Saccharomyces cerevisiae S288C: one gene and its partners. The gene in region 2 interacts genetically with the main gene of each other region. Each region holds a gene or a part of one and is shown on either strand. Other genes may lie near its edges.

Evidence for each region. A genetic interaction does not mean that the proteins touch.
Region 1: mutations in GCN1 (region 2) and CKB2 together harm fitness more than expected from each alone (negative genetic interaction), as found in Saccharomyces cerevisiae (4 studies listed by BioGRID).
Region 3: of GCN1 (region 2) and GCN2, a mutation in one rescues a mutant of the other (synthetic rescue), as found in Saccharomyces cerevisiae (4 studies listed by BioGRID, with this or other methods).

What each region holds. Positions count from the first base shown.
Region 1 is NC_001147.6:403,887-407,044, reverse strand, and holds CKB2 (casein kinase 2 regulatory subunit CKB2), read right to left. Parts: upstream 1,278-3,158; coding exon 501-1,277; downstream 1-500. Other genes in the region: HIR2 (Hir2p), read left to right, coding at 1,657-3,158. UniProt on the Saccharomyces cerevisiae protein: Regulatory subunit of casein kinase II/CK2.
Region 2 is NC_001139.9:127,722-136,035, reverse strand, and holds the start of GCN1 (Gcn1p), read right to left. Parts: upstream 4,512-8,314; coding exon 1-4,511. Other genes in the region: D-serine ammonia-lyase DSD1, read right to left, coding at 4,867-6,153; MDS3 (Mds3p), read right to left, coding at 6,875-8,314. UniProt on the Saccharomyces cerevisiae protein: Ribosome collision sensor that activates a translation quality control pathway when a ribosome has stalled during translation. Directly binds to the ribosome and acts as a sentinel for colliding ribosomes.
Region 3 is NC_001136.10:1,024,570-1,031,595, reverse strand, and holds GCN2 (serine/threonine-protein kinase GCN2), read left to right. Parts: upstream 1-1,546; coding exon 1,547-6,526; downstream 6,527-7,026. Other genes in the region: DPP1 (bifunctional diacylglycerol diphosphate phosphatase/phosphatidate phosphatase), read left to right, coding at 177-1,046; MRX10 (Mrx10p), read left to right, coding at 6,841-7,026. UniProt on the Saccharomyces cerevisiae protein: Metabolic-stress sensing protein kinase that phosphorylates the alpha subunit of eukaryotic translation initiation factor 2 (eIF-2-alpha/SUI2) on 'Ser-52' in response to low amino acid, carbon, or purine availability.

The DNA.
Region 1 (3,158 bases), on a different chromosome or scaffold from region 2:
ACCAAAGAATGAGTAAATCTCCTCTTTTCAGTACTTCCAGATTAGTCTTCAAACAGCTTTTGAGTTTTTAAAATATAAACCGCCTCTTAGTTCATAGGCAGTCTCCACGCGATGCCGCCACTTCTCCAATTTCTTGATAAATAAGGATGCTTCCTACATTCAAAGATTTCAAGCTATTCACTAAAATAACACCAATAATTCGTGGGTAACCACATTTGCAAATTGTTGATATATAACAGGCTAACTTCGGAGCACGCTCTTTTATCTGGTTGTATTATTGCCGTAAGGGGCAATAACGGTATATAAAAATTTAATATTAAATAGGAAAAGTAAAATACGAATGGAGGTAGAAAATAGTAATATTCTAGGAAAGAAAATGCTAGGAGAACAAATGATACCTGATTTTCACAATTTTATGACGAAGTTTCTCCATTATTTTCATTTTCGTTTTCAATTTCGCCTAGGATTTCATTTCGAATTTTTTCTTCTTTCTTTAATAGTTAGGTTTTAAAACCACCACTTTTCGTCAAATCAACATCTTTGGATTCAAGTTTCTCAACTAACTTGAGTCGTTGTAGTTCTTGCCACCTTGTCAGTTGAGCTTGTTTATGTAATTCAAATCCAAATATTTTTGGAACATATCTTTTAGTTGGGTGTTTGGGTACCATATCTGGAAATGCTTGCAAAAACATACCTGGAAAACTTGTTCCAAAGTATGCACCATCAATGGAACTATGTCTCGATGATTTTGGTATATAAAGATCCTCACAAGATGGACAATATAACTTGACACAATCTATACCAGGAATGTCATGCAAACCAACCGGTAACAACTGTTGTAAATTACAATACACACGGGGACATCTTCCAAAGTCCGCCTCTTTGTACTTAGCGTACATTTTTTGCAATCCTTTGATAGTTATAATGTAGCGTGCATGGATGAGACCATACAGCTTCCGGGAATCTGATTCTAATTGTTCTAAACGGGCATGTGTCATATTCTCTAGGATACTATCATCCAAATCATCCACAATATATTGTACCACGTAGGAAAATTTTGAAACTGTCTTTTGCAAGTTCATCAGATTAAAACGATCAGTGATGTACTCAGGATCGACATCACAGAAATATTCATGGCCTTTTCTCCCAAGAAATAAATCGATCCACATATCCACGTATTCCGATGAGTCAGAGTCATCATCCATGAGGACATCATCTTGTTCCACTCTGGAGCCTTCTCTAGTCACTGTTCCCACATTCTCCGATCTACTGCCCATGATCTGCTTTTCTATCAGTTCTCTAAGTCCCTTAATCTTGAATAATTTGAAAAAAGCTAGTATTTCTCAAGTAAAAGATTGATGAAAAAATACAGCAGGAAAATTCCACGTATCTGGAATGACCAACTTCTTTAAGAATGTGATTTACTTATTCTATTTGGTGCTTGTTTTCATTTGATAAAGGATTGCCAATACACCTCCATTTATTCGCTTTCATATTTTTTCTTCCTGGAAGGTCGACAAAAAAAAGCGCGAAAAAAATATCAGTTAATTCGGCTAGAATTATGAAGTCTTCATAAAACAATATACAAAAAGTGCTAAATCGTCCATACAGAGGAATACGCCACGCAGCAAAGGAGTTCCTACACAATCCGGAACAATGAGATTATTAAAGTATCCTTTGGATATTCATAATGAACAAGTGAATGCCTTAGCTGCCCTTGGTCCCTATATCATATTGGCAGGCAGTGGGGGTCACGTGATGGCGTGGAGACAACAACAACTAGTCGATACTGCATTCGATAGGGTTATGATTAAGGATTTAAAGCCAGAAGTTTCTTTCCAGGTGGATCAGGATACTACCGGTGATATTTTTTTCATAACAGGTGATCTCGAAACATTGTATATTGGATCTGAACATCGTCTGTGGGGTTATTCAGGTTGGCTCTGTAGAGATACAAATAACATCAATTCTGTCGAAAAAATGAACAGTAAGCTTCTGTTCGAGTGTAAATCTCCAAGCACAATAACGGATGTGAAATATGACATAAACTTAGGTATCTTATTTGTTCTTTTAAGTAATGAAAATAAGATACTATTATTTCGGCATAAAACCTTTGATAAACTCTCTGAAATAACTATTGACAAGGCGAGCAAACCTATTACAGGCATAATAGATCCTACTGGCCAAACTTTTACTGTTATGACTTCAGATAGATCAATTTTAGTCTATCAAATTAACAAAACGGGTACACACAAACTCATAAATAAACTTACGCAGCATGTACAAATGTATCCATTACATTATAGAATCTCAATGTCACCTCAGGCAGACATTTTACCAGTGATAAACTCGGTGAAAGGTGTGCCGAATAATGCTACCAGCTGTACCGCTTTACTTGACAGAAATAACAACTACAAAGTTACAAAAACACTGGTAACACCTTCTTCAAATGGATGTAGAGTTCTTGTTTATTCTCCAGCATTTTATGAAAAGCCTAATTTGAAAAAGGGCACCAGCACACGCTATAATTTAATCGCCACTTCGGGATCTACAGACGGTACTATTTTGGTTTGGAATACGAAGAGAATGAAACCTTTGTTTAATGCTCTCCAGGTTTCCTCCACCGCAATAAACGATATGTCTTGGTCACAGGATGGGTTCACCTTGTTTGCCATTTCAAACGACGCGACATTGTATACATTCGCATTCCAAGAGAAGGATTTAGGTGTAGCATTGCCTCAAACGGAAATCAAATCGTTACAAGAAGTAAACAAAAAGCTTCCAAAGCTTGAAGAGCCGTTAGCAGAACAAATACCGAAAAGTTTCCCAGAAAACATCAAATTAGAAGAATCTGCAAGCGCAGCACCTATTCCAAACGATATTGGTAGATCTGCCGTGGGCAAGAAACCGACCAAAAAAAAAACGGCTAACAATCAAACTAATGGCATCAAAACTATCCAGAGCACATCAATGGAATTCAACACTCCATCATACACTGTGCCAAGGGATTTGAAGAGAAAGCCAAAAGAGGCAACTCCAAGTAACATTGCCCCTGGCAGCAAAAAGCAGAAAAAAGAGCTACAGCCAATTGACTTTTTAGATACCGGCTTGCTCCTACCCAATACGTCTTTCTCAAGGATTAGACTTGCAACACCGAA
Region 2 (8,314 bases):
ACCTCTTTGTGAGAGTCGTTCAATACACCAACAATTTCTGGGACAATGGTGGACAAAGAAGCTGACAATTGAGTAGGATCTAAATAAGCCATATTACCCAACAATTGAACAGAGCCCCTCTTAGTTCTCCAAGCAATTTCATCCAAATTAGAAACAGCAACTGGAATTAACTTTTTAACACCGTAACCTGTAGTATGCGCCATTATAGCCTTAGTGGCACGAGCGGTTGCATCTCTAACTTCAGGAACAGCATCCCCTAAATTCTTTAAAATATTTGGAAGAATTTCTATCACATATGGTTCAAAAAACTTTCCTAGAGATTCAGACAAATATTGAAAGCAGAAGCCAACAGATTCACGTCTTTTTGGCTCCTTTTTATCTTCTGCAGCTTCGATGAGGTTGCGAATAATGTCAAACTCCGAGAGAGCCGAGATACCGTAACCTTTCACTAAACCAGCGATACCCCAAGCGGCACCTTTCCGCATAGAAGAAGCAACAGTTGGATTCAGCAGTTTCTCCATTAGGATACCCAAGTAATCACCAACTTTTTGTTTGAACTGGAAAACTAGTGGTGCTATACAAGCCGACACAGCCTGTTGAATATCCGCAGAAGGAGTATCCAAAGTTGAAAGCAATCTTTCAATGATCGTGTGAATCCTTGCATCACTTTGCTGTAAATGTCTTGCTAATGTACCATACAAAATAATAACGTTCTCTTTTAAGGCACTGTCCGTACTGGAGCTTAATGCTTCTTCAAATATAGGAATTAAATCCTTCGAGTTTTGTGAGCCATGTAACGTAATTAATTCAACACCAGCTTCTTTCATTTCTTGACGAACAATAGGCTCTCTGTCTACTAGACCTCCATCATCGACCAAAAATTTTATAATGTTAACGACAGTATCATCCTCTGCAGAAAAAGCCTTAGCCATGATTTTTAATGTAATAGCAACGGTACTTCTTCCTTGCCATGGATCTTTTTGTTCACTCGCAGAAACAAGAACCAAGCCAAATTGATCAAGAATTGGCTCCAATGGCTTTGCCTTTTCTTTATAAAAGTTCAGCAAATCATTTAAGTAATCTTTCGAGGAGTTCTCTTCAGAGGTAAACAGACTTACCGCACCAAATGCGTACGCGTTTGCCGCAAATAATCTCAAGCCACTATCATCCTGATTGAATAGTGGGAATAAGCTTTTTAGTAATTCATCGTTGACTACAAATTTGTTGAACTCCCAAATGAAATCTGCAATCTCGCGGTTGGAAGGATCCGAATCAAATCTGCAAATGAAAACTTCAGGTGAATATTTCATAAAAGGTTCTAATTCGAATTCGTTATCAAGAGTTTCTAATATTGTTGAACGGACAAATTGATTTGGTGATAGTAAATTTGATAGTATCATATCAAGGTCTTCTTGATTTGGTGCAACAGATATGCTTTGGCACAGAGCGTTGAAACAATCTTTAGCAATCTTCGCTTTTGAGGGTAAAGATAGAAGAGATAGTAACACTTCAACAATGGAAATTCTCGGAATGGAAGGATCCTCAAAAGCTTCAGCGTGTACAGAAATAATTTCCATGGCCAGTAACAGATGTTCTTCTTCTTCATCTTCTTCAACAAACTCAGCCTTAACAACAGGCTTGTCCGCATTCTTTAATGCAATCGCCTTACCCTTTTCTAAAACATTAATCAACAATGGTAAAATATATGTCAAACTGATGGAATCTATTGCTGCTTGGTTGGAGACGAACTTGATCCTAAAAAGAACTCTTGTAAGTAATTCAACCAGTGGTTCTTGTAAATAATCTTGCGAGATGCCATTAGCATTGTGCACACGCAAAGTCGCCAAACCTAAGAAAAGTCTGATATTACCTAATCTCTCGGAGACATTTTGAGAAAGCTGCAAGAACACATTATTTACATCCTCTGTTAGCTTTGAAATATTTGGTTCCGAGCATAGGTACAAAAGCTTTGTGACTGCCAAGGGGAACCAAGTAGCGATGCCATTTTGGACTAAGCAAGCAGCTTTGGAAAGTTCAGATACCAATCTAATACCACGCTTTAAACGAGTGGAAATTTCCGAAACGTGTGATCTAACTGCAGATTCTTTCGCTAACTGTTCATTAACGAGCTCTTGTTCCTCTTTTGAAAGTTTTTTCACATTCTTTTTGGCTTGCTCCTTCCTTATTTTTTGTTCCCACATTAGAGTTTCGTACTCTTTAGAATTTTTATTGGAAAGTTTCTTATTCATGCTTTCTTCCAGGACGTCAACCACCAGAACACCTTCCTCTCCTGCAAAAATTTCGAAGTCCTCTTCAGATAAACGTGAGAAATCATCCGCGGTTAAATCTGCTTCGATAGTCTTACAAAGGATCGGTGTGAACTCATTAGGCTGAATAAATGCTGCATAGGCAGCTGCTTGCAAACCGCATGCACCATAAATTGTATCTATCCATTCACAACTACCTGTGATTTCAAGAATCTTCTCCATGATAACGCTAGCATGTTCTTTGACAACTTCAGCTGGATCAAGCCTTGCACGTAAAACTAAACCAGCCCAGCCATTCTTAATGTTGAAAATATTCCATTGCGCTATGACCAGAGCATTGATTAATACCTTTATCGAGGCTTCCTTGTCAGGTAACTCAGACGTAATGGCCAGTAGTACAGAAGTGACATATTTAAAGGATGTATTTTGTTGAGGTATTAATTCTTGGACACGCATTCTCCTTTCAATTGCATCAATCACGCTAAACCCAATAAATTCGGGTTTCTTGTAGAACAATTCTTGTAGTAAATTAACAGCATGAATACGGTTTTCGATGGATAGCTCTGTTGATAATGCAGCAGTTAAGATAGCATCACCTATCGAAGAATTTTCAGGAAGGGTTTCTATGAGCTGCATAACACGATCATTTAGCTCAGTATTGTCCAATGCCAAAATTTTGTTTGTAAATTCAATTGATGCTAGAATACATGCATGCCCGTGAGTCTGATAATGTATGATGGAGTCTTTCACAAATTCCAAACAACCGTCTATAAAGTTTAAAATCACCTCTTCAGAGGCAGCATTGGAATTGTTCAAAAATGCGGCAAACCAGCATTTTTTCAAAGCAGGTTTTTTATCTGCAAAACCAGCTGATATAATTTTATCCAAGTCTTCAATAGGTTTGCCCAGACTAAAATAATGAACAAAAAAAGCGTTAAGCATTAGAGTCAAGGCTGCTTCATTACCTTCTTTACCAATATATGGGGACAGCCCTTTGCAGATTTTTTCTGAAACCTCATAGTGCGTTAAGGGTATTTCTATGAGAATTTTGGAAATAAGTGATTTGTAATCTGCATTTAAGTTCGATTTGATGTTCTTAAATATTTCGTCAATAAGCTTGGTCAAATCTTCCAAGGTAGTGTCAGTATTGGAAATTTTTCTCAATAAGATTATCATAGACTGAAGCGAGACGGATCTAACTACCTCTTTTGAGCTTTTAAATGACGAGAAGTATTGATTAATCAGTTTCGAGGAAGCAAAGGCATTTAAGAGATTTACTTTTTCAGGAGAAACACCAGCATATAACTCAGATAAAATCGAAAAACCAACCTCAGGAGATCTTAAAACTGCTTTTTCAATATTAGGGATGAAAAACTTAATGAATAACTCTTGTGAAACAAATTCTTTTAAAAATGGCTTCAAACCAATCTCTAAGCAAAAGGAAGATGGTGGGTTTTTGCCTAAAAACACTTCTTTGCCCAAATATTCGCAATATTTCTCTGCAGAATTTTCCTTTAAAACGGAGTGCAGAGCTGGTTGCCTCGATAATAACTGAAGTGCAGCCTGAGTTAGTGCACCCATTATCATAACTACTCCAACACTGGTTATCTTCAGCTTAGAGTAGCTCTCCAGTACAGTTTTAATTGAAATCTTCATGAAGGAAATACTGTCGTCATTATCCTTCAAGCACTTAAGGAATGCTTTGACCGTTGTTTGGAAAATGCAATAACGAATTCTCTTTCTATGCTGGTTCTGCTTATCTTGGGATTTCTTGCCTTCTTCTTGATTGTCAAGAATAGTTTCCACACCGAACGTTGCATAAGAATGGGCGACCAACAATTTTGGAATGTACTCTTCAAATAAATTAGAATTATGCGACACAAAAATCAAGAAAGAATTAATCCAATCTAACAAATTAAGGTAATCAGCGACTGCTTTGGTAGCCGGATTACTGATGACCACGTCGGAAATGAATCGGATAAAGTTTTCTAGGAGACATGGCTCTAGATTTAAGATGTCAAGCAATATTGAAGTTACCAAACTTTTAGACCTATTGTCTTCGTAAATCGTGAAGGTATTCAATAAAACGAAAGCAATTTCAGATAATTGAGGTTTTTCCAATGTTTCTTGACGAACTAATTGTGATATATCTTGCAAAAAGGGAACTCTTTTAGACACGTGTGATTCGCGGGTGCCTTTCTCTAAAACAGGGGATATATCTTCCCAGTTTAAGATAGCTGTCATCACTGTAGGAGTTATTGGTGTCAGTCAGAGCTTTGTTTGTCTTAATGATCTACTTCAGGTTTAATAAGTACAACTCAAAGATCTTTTCGAAGGTTTAAATTATTCAAATTTTTCATTCGTACGTAACGACTTTATTGAGAAGCTCAATGACGGTAGTTGAAATTTCATAGCATTATATCAACAAATAAATCTGTATTACAATTACCAGCTCGCAGGTAATGCGGAAGCTTAACAAGAGGGTGTTTAGACCAACCTGTGTACAACCTTACTCTTAGTTACTATTTATAAATAGATACACAATTACATAGACACAGAGATGCTTTGATGAGAGTGATAACCAACGACAAAAGAGAGCTTACCATTTCTGAAAAGGTAACCAAACATCGTTGACAATGCCTTCGCTGTTTACCACGAAATAATATGGAAATTGTCCCATTGTGATACAAGCGTGTTGAGGAAGGACGGCAATTTTGCTGCCTAATTTTAATGGAGTAGTTTCGTTCCAGTTTCTTATTGGCCTCAGTATCCCGTGTTCTTGAGAGACCCTTGCTACATACCATTCCCTACTGAAACTCTCGGATTTTAACACATGTTCCAAATCAGCACATATTCCAAACCCTTTTATTGAGGATGCTTCTCGCGTTAGACACATTACACCTGTATTACTCAACAATTCACCTCTAGAAGGGTAAGATGATAGTACTGTTCCTAATACAAAACCAGACAATTCGTGATCTTGGACACAGCCTGTTGCCACCTGTTGCAGGTCATACATGCAGTAATTACCGCAGTGGATTTCAAGCGTACTAACTAATTGAGTAGTAATGAATTTAACAAGGGTACTTTTATTATCGAGTTTCAAAGAATTGGAAGTCGGAGTAGCGCCCACAGAAAGTGTTAATTTAGAAGGATCAAACTGAGGATCCACAGAGCACAAAACTTTAGCGGCAGAATTGACTGCTTTCACTTCTTCCATCAAAAGATTCTGAGTGTCGTTGATCGAGGTTGAAGAGTAGCTGTGTCCGGCATGAGCATAAAACCCATATGGCTCAATTACTTCTTTAATTTCTGAGGAAGTCAGTTTTTTTAAAAGACTCAAAAATTCTGGAGAGTCGAAAGCAAGACCTGCCCTCTTAGTCCCCATATCAACCTTGATAAAAACCGACCATTTCTTGCCGGAAGCAGGCCTACCGAAATTCTTTAAATTCTCCAAGTGTTCAATGTTATCAACAAAAACCTGAAAATTATTCACCCTTCTTGACAAATTGCTCAAAAGAGGAATAAACTCTGGAACGCAACAGGGTAAACTATATGTTATATCGTCAATATAATCCGAACATTGTCTATCTTGATAATTAAGAAGTTCTTCTGCTTCTTTCAAAGTTGATACTAATATGGCTCTTGTAGTGCGTTTAGCCAATGGAAGTCCGTGGCCCAATTGTTTCAAAGTTCCCTTTGCTGTCTTATGCGTTTTTACGTGTGCACGAAATTTGATTGGTACGCCACATTCCTGGCTGAGCTTTTCAACGTTGTTCAACATTGTCGTACAATTCTTATCAAATTTTTCTTCATTAATAACGAAATTGGGTGTGGGTAAATCTCTGACTGAGCACCCTTTATATTGAGATAGAACATCGCTCATTTCAAACTCTTCTTAGGAGCAATATTATACTTCCTTATCAAGAAATGAAGTATTTATGTGCACTTAATTCCCTTTCGTGTTGAATAAAATTGACAGTAAATAGTGGAAAGAAATCTTTTCACTCAAAAGCTTTATATATGTACACATATTGTTGTTCCATGGTTTTGAGAGATATTTTAACTCCGTCTTATCACTCTCCGACGGATTCGGCCCGATGTAAAAATTGTATTGCTAGTTATGTTCCGACATTTGGTTATGCTATATCGTGGGATGTATTCAATTTTCGTGTTATGATTAGTCTGTGCCTCATTATCTGAATTTGAATTGTCCTGAGCTGACCTGGTCTGCCCGCTTCGATAAACTGCAAATACAGGAACCAGATAACCTTATCAGAAAGTCAATAGTAGACGAAATACTAGTGTGCGGAAACTAGTATGATACAAGATGTTGTCTTATCAACGAATACAGCAAATGCAACCTATACTAATAACTTACATAGTCATATTCACCGGGTAATTTCGGTTGAATCTGTTCACAAAGCAATATTTCATAAGCAATAAACCTTTGCAATGAGTAGCTTTTTGGTGCCAACTGTTTTGATAGCAAAGAAACAGAAAAGTGGCGCCCATATGGAAGCAATCCGTTTTGAGATGTATAGCAGCATATTCTTGGATTATTAAGAACTTTATATGTGCGAGTAACTATCCTGGGACGTAGCGGTCTATGGTGACGGTTTAGAGATGCCTTTCAATTTCGAAATATCTTCCATAGTTTTTTTCTTGAGCGCTCGTAAATTTTTAGATAATTCAATGCAATCCATGCAACGAACCATTAGTCTGATATCGTTCACTAACACAGTGGTTCTGTATATTGATTTTATGACATAATCAACGGGAGGTAGGGCATTTGCAGACGCCATATTTTCTAATGTCAAAACAGAAAATGCATTAAATGAACGATTGTCCCTGAATGGCTTTCCAGAAGCCGAACTAGTTCTTGTGGTAGACCCGTATGCTCGAATGGGACTTTGAGGGAAAGCAGATGATTTAAATAAAGGGTCTACAGAATCGTCCACCTTATCGACATGCTTGGCTTCTCTTTTTATTTTATTGAGCGAAAGCATTCCCAAACCAAAATCGAATTCTTCCTCCTCCTCCCTTACGTCTCTAGTTTCCTTACCTTCCTTGGCTTTCAAGTTATTTTTTTCATGCGGTAAGTAATTGCGTTTCTTGTCATTTGATATATCCTTCGTCACTTTATCATCTTCTTTGTTTCTGAATCTTGCGTCTAAGATCTCAGCAGAATCTTCTCTTTCTATTTCCAATAAATCTTGAAGTTGCTCTTGTTCTTCTTTCTCTTCTAAATCACTGCTACTAATGCTGTTAGTGCTACTGCTGCTGATGGAACCATAATTCATATCAAACAAATGAAGGTTAAAACTTCCGATGTTGGTTTGTTGATCATCGTTATCATCAAAACTTTTGCCCTCTTTTGGTTCGTACTCTTCATAAAAAGTTTTGGGATCTATTTCCTTGCTTAAGCTCGATTTCATCTTAACGCGTGGAGAAAATCCTGATGTCGATCTTCTTGAGCCTTGTATATTCATACTGTTTGGAAAACCAATGGAGCCTACTGAATTGTGGCTATCTCTGGGACCGCCAGCAAATACTGTAGGGACATTGGTTGAAGAAGTCTCCAGAGAGCCAGCGCCAGTTGCAGTTTTTTCGCCGTTTGCACTACCACTGCTTTCTTGTGTGCTTGAAGACTGTGCTCTTGACTGTTTGCGTAACAAATCTGGGTCATAATACCCATTGTCGATATTCTCCAGCGACACTTTTAATTTCAACAGTTCCTGATAGTTATCGTTTGAAGTCAAATAAGTATTTGTTTTTTCTTCATCACCTTTATAGGAGTTCAGAGTTTTGGTGCGAAAGGTCTCCATTAACGAAGTACATATTAAGGATAAACTTTCTTCTTTTTTAGCCAGAATCGAATATAAAACTTCAAGGATCAATTTATACAGTAATGGTATTTCATAAATCTTGGCCATTACTAATAAATCAAGAGCAACTGGTGCCAAAAGCCATTTACTGTTTACTTGCCCAGTGTAAAAAAATTCCGCAAATGCTCGAACTGTGGAGGTTGGCCAAGGCATATAAAG
Region 3 (7,026 bases), on a different chromosome or scaffold from region 2:
GTTATCTAGGGTCCACTAACATACGCGCAGTTCGGAAATCAGCAAACATCACTTAAAGGACACCTGCTATAAACTGAATTGTGTCCAATTTTTCGAGTAGTTAGCAGTTCAATAAAGGGCACGTTATCAATTGTTAAAGGCAAAGAATCAGAATTAAATCATAGCAAACGACCAAAATGAACAGAGTTTCGTTTATTAAAACGCCTTTCAACATAGGGGCGAAATGGAGATTAGAAGATGTCTTTTTGCTCATTATCATGATACTTCTTAACTACCCAGTGTATTACCAACAACCGTTCGAACGTCAGTTTTACATTAACGATCTCACTATATCGCATCCTTATGCGACAACTGAACGTGTAAATAACAACATGTTGTTTGTTTATAGTTTTGTCGTGCCATCTTTAACCATATTGATAATTGGTTCCATTTTGGCCGATAGAAGACATTTGATTTTTATTTTGTACACATCTCTCCTTGGTTTATCACTCGCTTGGTTCAGTACGAGTTTCTTTACAAACTTCATCAAGAATTGGATTGGAAGACTAAGACCAGATTTTCTAGATCGTTGCCAACCTGTTGAAGGCTTGCCATTGGACACTTTATTTACTGCAAAAGATGTGTGTACGACTAAGAATCACGAACGTCTGTTGGATGGGTTTAGGACAACTCCGTCAGGTCATTCAAGTGAAAGCTTTGCAGGACTGGGTTATTTGTACTTCTGGCTATGTGGGCAACTTTTGACTGAATCACCGTTGATGCCTTTATGGAGAAAAATGGTGGCCTTTCTACCACTGTTAGGAGCTGCACTAATTGCTCTATCCAGAACTCAAGATTACAGACATCATTTCGTCGATGTAATTTTAGGGTCTATGTTGGGTTATATAATGGCACACTTTTTCTACAGAAGAATCTTCCCACCCATTGATGATCCTCTTCCGTTCAAACCATTGATGGACGATTCAGATGTCACCCTGGAGGAAGCAGTCACCCATCAGAGGATCCCGGATGAGGAATTACATCCTTTGTCCGATGAAGGTATGTAAGAATAAAAAAGAATATATACTCCACATGACATACGAAATATACGTATTTATTGTTCTGTATGGAATAACAGCGATTACATAAAGATGACATGTTACTTCTTTATTCAAATTAATCTTGACGTGCAAGGGCCTGCTTGTTATTTCATCGGACAATCCCAACATCACTTTACACGAAAGCCTTAGAAGTTTATTATTTGTTTTAAGTTGGACTATAGTGATGTAGGTAGTTTCTTAGGAAGCAGTTGAGTAGCTGATTTTTGAGATAAGAACCTGGTGTAATCAATCTATAAACAGCCTAGAATCTTTTTAAGCAAATTTACTTTTACATTTATCTCTATCTTCTTTCTTACAAGAAGTTATTTTCATTACAAAAGGACATTAAATACACTAAATTTTCAATCTTTACATTGTTGGAAAGCCTCGTTGTCTTTTAAGATTTTATAAGCATTGATTTTTTTTTTCAATAATTTTCCGTTCCCCTTAACACATACTATGTATAAATGTCATTGAGTCATCTCACTTTAGATCAATATTATGAAATACAGTGCAACGAACTTGAAGCGATACGTTCCATTTATATGGATGACTTTACTGACTTAACTAAAAGAAAGTCTAGCTGGGATAAGCAGCCACAGATTATATTCGAAATTACGCTTCGATCTGTTGACAAAGAGCCGGTTGAATCTTCTATAACATTACATTTTGCGATGACCCCAATGTATCCTTATACCGCTCCAGAAATAGAATTCAAAAATGTACAAAATGTAATGGATAGTCAATTGCAAATGCTGAAAAGTGAATTTAAGAAAATCCACAACACCTCCCGAGGCCAAGAGATTATATTTGAAATTACATCTTTTACTCAAGAAAAACTGGACGAATTTCAAAATGTGGTAAATACACAGTCCTTGGAAGATGATCGATTACAAAGAATCAAAGAAACTAAAGAACAATTAGAAAAGGAAGAAAGAGAAAAACAACAGGAAACAATAAAAAAAAGATCAGATGAGCAGCGAAGGATAGATGAAATTGTTCAAAGAGAGTTGGAGAAAAGACAAGATGATGATGATGATTTGCTATTCAACAGAACAACCCAGTTAGATTTACAACCACCTTCAGAATGGGTTGCATCAGGTGAAGCTATTGTCTTTTCAAAAACTATAAAGGCAAAATTGCCTAATAACTCAATGTTCAAGTTTAAAGCAGTTGTAAATCCTAAGCCAATAAAACTGACATCAGATATATTTAGTTTTTCCAAACAATTTCTTGTGAAGCCTTATATACCACCAGAATCTCCGTTGGCAGATTTTTTAATGTCTTCTGAAATGATGGAAAATTTCTACTATTTGCTATCTGAAATTGAATTGGATAATAGCTATTTCAACACAAGTAATGGAAAAAAAGAAATAGCAAATTTAGAGAAAGAGTTAGAGACGGTGTTGAAAGCTAAGCATGACAATGTGAATCGATTGTTCGGTTATACGGTGGAGCGCATGGGGAGAAATAATGCAACGTTTGTTTGGAAAATAAGACTCTTGACAGAGTACTGTAACTACTATCCATTGGGAGATTTGATACAATCTGTTGGATTTGTTAACTTAGCAACAGCGCGTATTTGGATGATTAGATTGCTTGAAGGATTGGAGGCCATACACAAATTGGGAATTGTTCATAAATGTATCAACTTAGAAACCGTGATCCTGGTGAAGGATGCAGATTTTGGAAGCACTATTCCCAAGTTAGTTCACTCCACTTATGGCTACACTGTTTTGAATATGCTATCGAGATATCCAAATAAAAATGGTTCTTCGGTTGAGTTATCTCCAAGTACATGGATAGCCCCTGAGTTGTTGAAATTCAATAACGCCAAACCTCAAAGATTAACTGATATTTGGCAACTTGGTGTTTTGTTTATCCAGATAATCAGTGGATCTGATATAGTGATGAATTTTGAAACGCCTCAAGAATTCCTAGATTCAACAAGTATGGATGAAACTTTATATGATCTTCTTTCGAAAATGCTTAATAACGATCCGAAGAAAAGATTAGGAACATTAGAACTACTGCCCATGAAATTCTTAAGGACCAATATTGACTCTACAATCAATCGATTTAACTTAGTTTCCGAAAGTGTCAATTCTAATTCCTTGGAGTTAACTCCTGGAGATACCATAACCGTTCGGGGCAATGGAGGTAGAACACTTTCACAATCGAGTATACGAAGAAGATCATTTAATGTTGGTTCCAGATTCTCTTCTATAAATCCTGCAACGCGATCACGATATGCTTCTGACTTTGAAGAGATTGCAGTTTTAGGCCAGGGCGCATTTGGACAAGTTGTCAAGGCACGTAATGCTCTCGATAGCAGATACTATGCGATCAAGAAGATTAGACATACAGAAGAAAAGTTATCTACTATATTGAGTGAAGTAATGCTGTTAGCAAGCTTAAATCATCAATATGTTGTGCGTTACTATGCTGCATGGTTAGAAGAAGACAGTATGGATGAAAACGTTTTTGAATCAACTGATGAAGAAAGTGACTTGAGCGAATCTTCCTCTGATTTTGAGGAAAATGATTTATTAGATCAAAGCAGTATTTTTAAAAATAGAACAAATCACGATTTGGATAATAGTAACTGGGATTTCATATCGGGGTCAGGATATCCGGATATTGTCTTTGAAAATAGTTCTCGTGATGATGAAAATGAAGATCTAGACCATGATACTTCCTCGACTTCCTCGAGCGAAAGTCAAGATGATACTGATAAAGAATCAAAGAGTATCCAGAACGTTCCAAGAAGGAGGAATTTTGTAAAACCGATGACTGCTGTTAAGAAGAAAAGTACGCTTTTTATTCAAATGGAGTACTGTGAAAATAGAACGCTATATGATTTGATCCATTCTGAAAATTTAAATCAACAACGTGATGAATATTGGAGGTTATTTCGACAAATTTTGGAAGCACTGAGTTATATACATTCCCAGGGTATCATTCATAGGGATCTGAAGCCAATGAATATTTTTATAGATGAATCGAGAAATGTTAAAATCGGTGATTTTGGGTTAGCTAAGAACGTCCATAGATCTCTGGATATACTTAAGCTAGATTCACAGAATTTGCCAGGCAGCTCAGATAATTTAACATCCGCCATTGGTACAGCAATGTATGTTGCTACTGAAGTTTTAGATGGTACAGGTCACTATAATGAAAAGATTGATATGTATTCACTTGGAATCATTTTTTTTGAAATGATCTATCCTTTCAGTACAGGTATGGAGAGAGTTAATATTTTGAAAAAGTTACGATCAGTGTCGATAGAATTTCCTCCTGATTTCGACGATAATAAGATGAAAGTTGAAAAGAAAATTATAAGGTTACTCATAGACCATGATCCCAATAAAAGGCCTGGTGCTAGGACATTATTAAATAGTGGTTGGCTTCCTGTGAAGCATCAGGATGAAGTAATCAAAGAGGCTTTAAAAAGTTTGTCGAATCCTTCATCCCCTTGGCAACAGCAAGTTCGAGAAAGTTTATTTAACCAATCTTACAGTCTAACAAATGATATTCTATTTGATAACTCAGTTCCAACATCCACTCCTTTCGCAAACATTCTCAGGTCCCAAATGACAGAAGAGGTAGTTAAAATTTTCAGGAAACATGGAGGAATTGAAAATAATGCTCCTCCGAGGATTTTTCCAAAGGCCCCCATATACGGTACGCAGAATGTATATGAAGTGCTTGACAAGGGCGGTACCGTCTTGCAGTTACAATATGATTTAACTTATCCTATGGCTAGGTATCTATCTAAAAATCCAAGTCTGATTTCTAAGCAATATAGGATGCAGCACGTTTACCGACCTCCTGATCATTCAAGGTCAAGTTTGGAACCTAGAAAGTTTGGTGAGATTGACTTCGACATAATTTCAAAATCTTCCTCAGAGTCAGGATTTTATGATGCAGAAAGCTTGAAAATTATCGATGAAATATTAACCGTATTTCCTGTATTTGAGAAAACAAACACTTTTTTCATATTAAATCATGCTGATATTTTGGAGAGTGTTTTCAACTTTACAAATATTGATAAAGCCCAAAGGCCTCTAGTTTCACGAATGTTGTCGCAAGTAGGCTTTGCAAGGTCCTTCAAGGAAGTAAAGAATGAACTAAAGGCGCAACTGAACATATCTTCTACGGCATTGAATGATTTGGAGTTATTTGATTTTAGACTGGACTTCGAAGCAGCCAAAAAACGCCTGTATAAATTGATGATTGATAGTCCGCATCTAAAAAAAATTGAGGACTCTTTGTCCCATATATCAAAGGTTCTCAGTTACCTAAAACCCTTAGAAGTTGCAAGAAATGTTGTGATATCTCCTTTGAGTAACTACAATAGCGCTTTTTACAAAGGAGGTATCATGTTTCATGCAGTTTATGACGATGGATCCTCACGTAATATGATAGCTGCTGGAGGGAGGTATGACACTTTGATATCCTTTTTTGCCAGACCATCAGGAAAAAAGAGCAGCAATACTCGTAAGGCTGTAGGTTTCAACTTAGCGTGGGAAACAATATTCGGTATAGCCCAAAACTATTTCAAACTCGCTTCTGGAAATAGGATAAAGAAGAGAAATAGGTTTTTGAAAGATACAGCTGTTGATTGGAAGCCAAGCAGGTGTGATGTATTGATATCGAGTTTTTCGAACTCTTTGTTGGACACAATCGGGGTTACAATACTGAATACATTGTGGAAGCAAAACATTAAAGCGGATATGTTAAGGGATTGTTCCTCGGTGGATGATGTCGTTACTGGCGCTCAACAGGATGGTATAGACTGGATTTTGCTGATTAAGCAACAAGCGTATCCACTAACCAATCACAAGAGAAAGTACAAGCCATTAAAAATAAAAAAATTGAGCACTAATGTTGACATAGATTTAGATCTTGATGAGTTTTTAACCTTGTACCAACAAGAAACTGGTAATAAATCTTTGATCAACGATAGTCTCACTTTGGGCGATAAGGCTGATGAATTTAAAAGATGGGATGAAAACAGCAGTGCCGGTAGTAGTCAAGAAGGTGACATAGATGATGTTGTTGCTGGTTCGACTAATAATCAAAAGGTAATTTATGTTCCAAACATGGCTACAAGATCTAAGAAAGCTAATAAAAGGGAAAAGTGGGTTTATGAGGATGCAGCCAGAAATTCTTCGAATATGATATTACACAATTTATCCAATGCACCAATTATCACTGTTGATGCCTTAAGAGATGAAACTTTAGAAATAATCTCAATTACTTCTTTGGCTCAGAAGGAAGAATGGCTGAGAAAAGTTTTTGGGTCAGGTAATAACTCGACTCCTAGAAGCTTTGCCACGAGCATTTATAATAACCTCTCCAAAGAGGCTCATAAAGGGAATAGGTGGGCAATATTATACTGCCACAAAACCGGAAAATCATCTGTTATCGATTTACAGAGGTAGGCCTTTAAAGATCTGTGCGGCGCTATAACGCATCAGTTAAAGGTAAAGTATATACAATGTCTTAGATACTATATTTAGGCTAGCTGATTCATCTAATTCACCGTTGTAAAGGGGGTAGGTCACCTTTCTTATACATATTCCTGATACTAAAGACAAATGTAGGTTTAATGAGATGGTCTACTTCTTCTCTCCTTTCTCTACTTTCCATTTTGTATTTAATTTTTCGGTGAATATAAATGTGTGCGTATGTTGTGTGAGGCTCCTCTAGCTCCTACGGGAGACATTTAATAAATGATCATAATATGGCGTGAAGAATGCTTTCATTCAGAAGTTTGACTAGCACATTCGGTTTCGTATCACGATTCCAAATTAGACGGTTAGGAACTAGTTTATCAATACAGAATTTAGAAGTGCAAGATGGCCGTTGGAAAGGTAAACTAGCTACAGAGAAGAAGACCAATAGGGAACACAAGTCAGTGGATACGAATATCAAGACAATG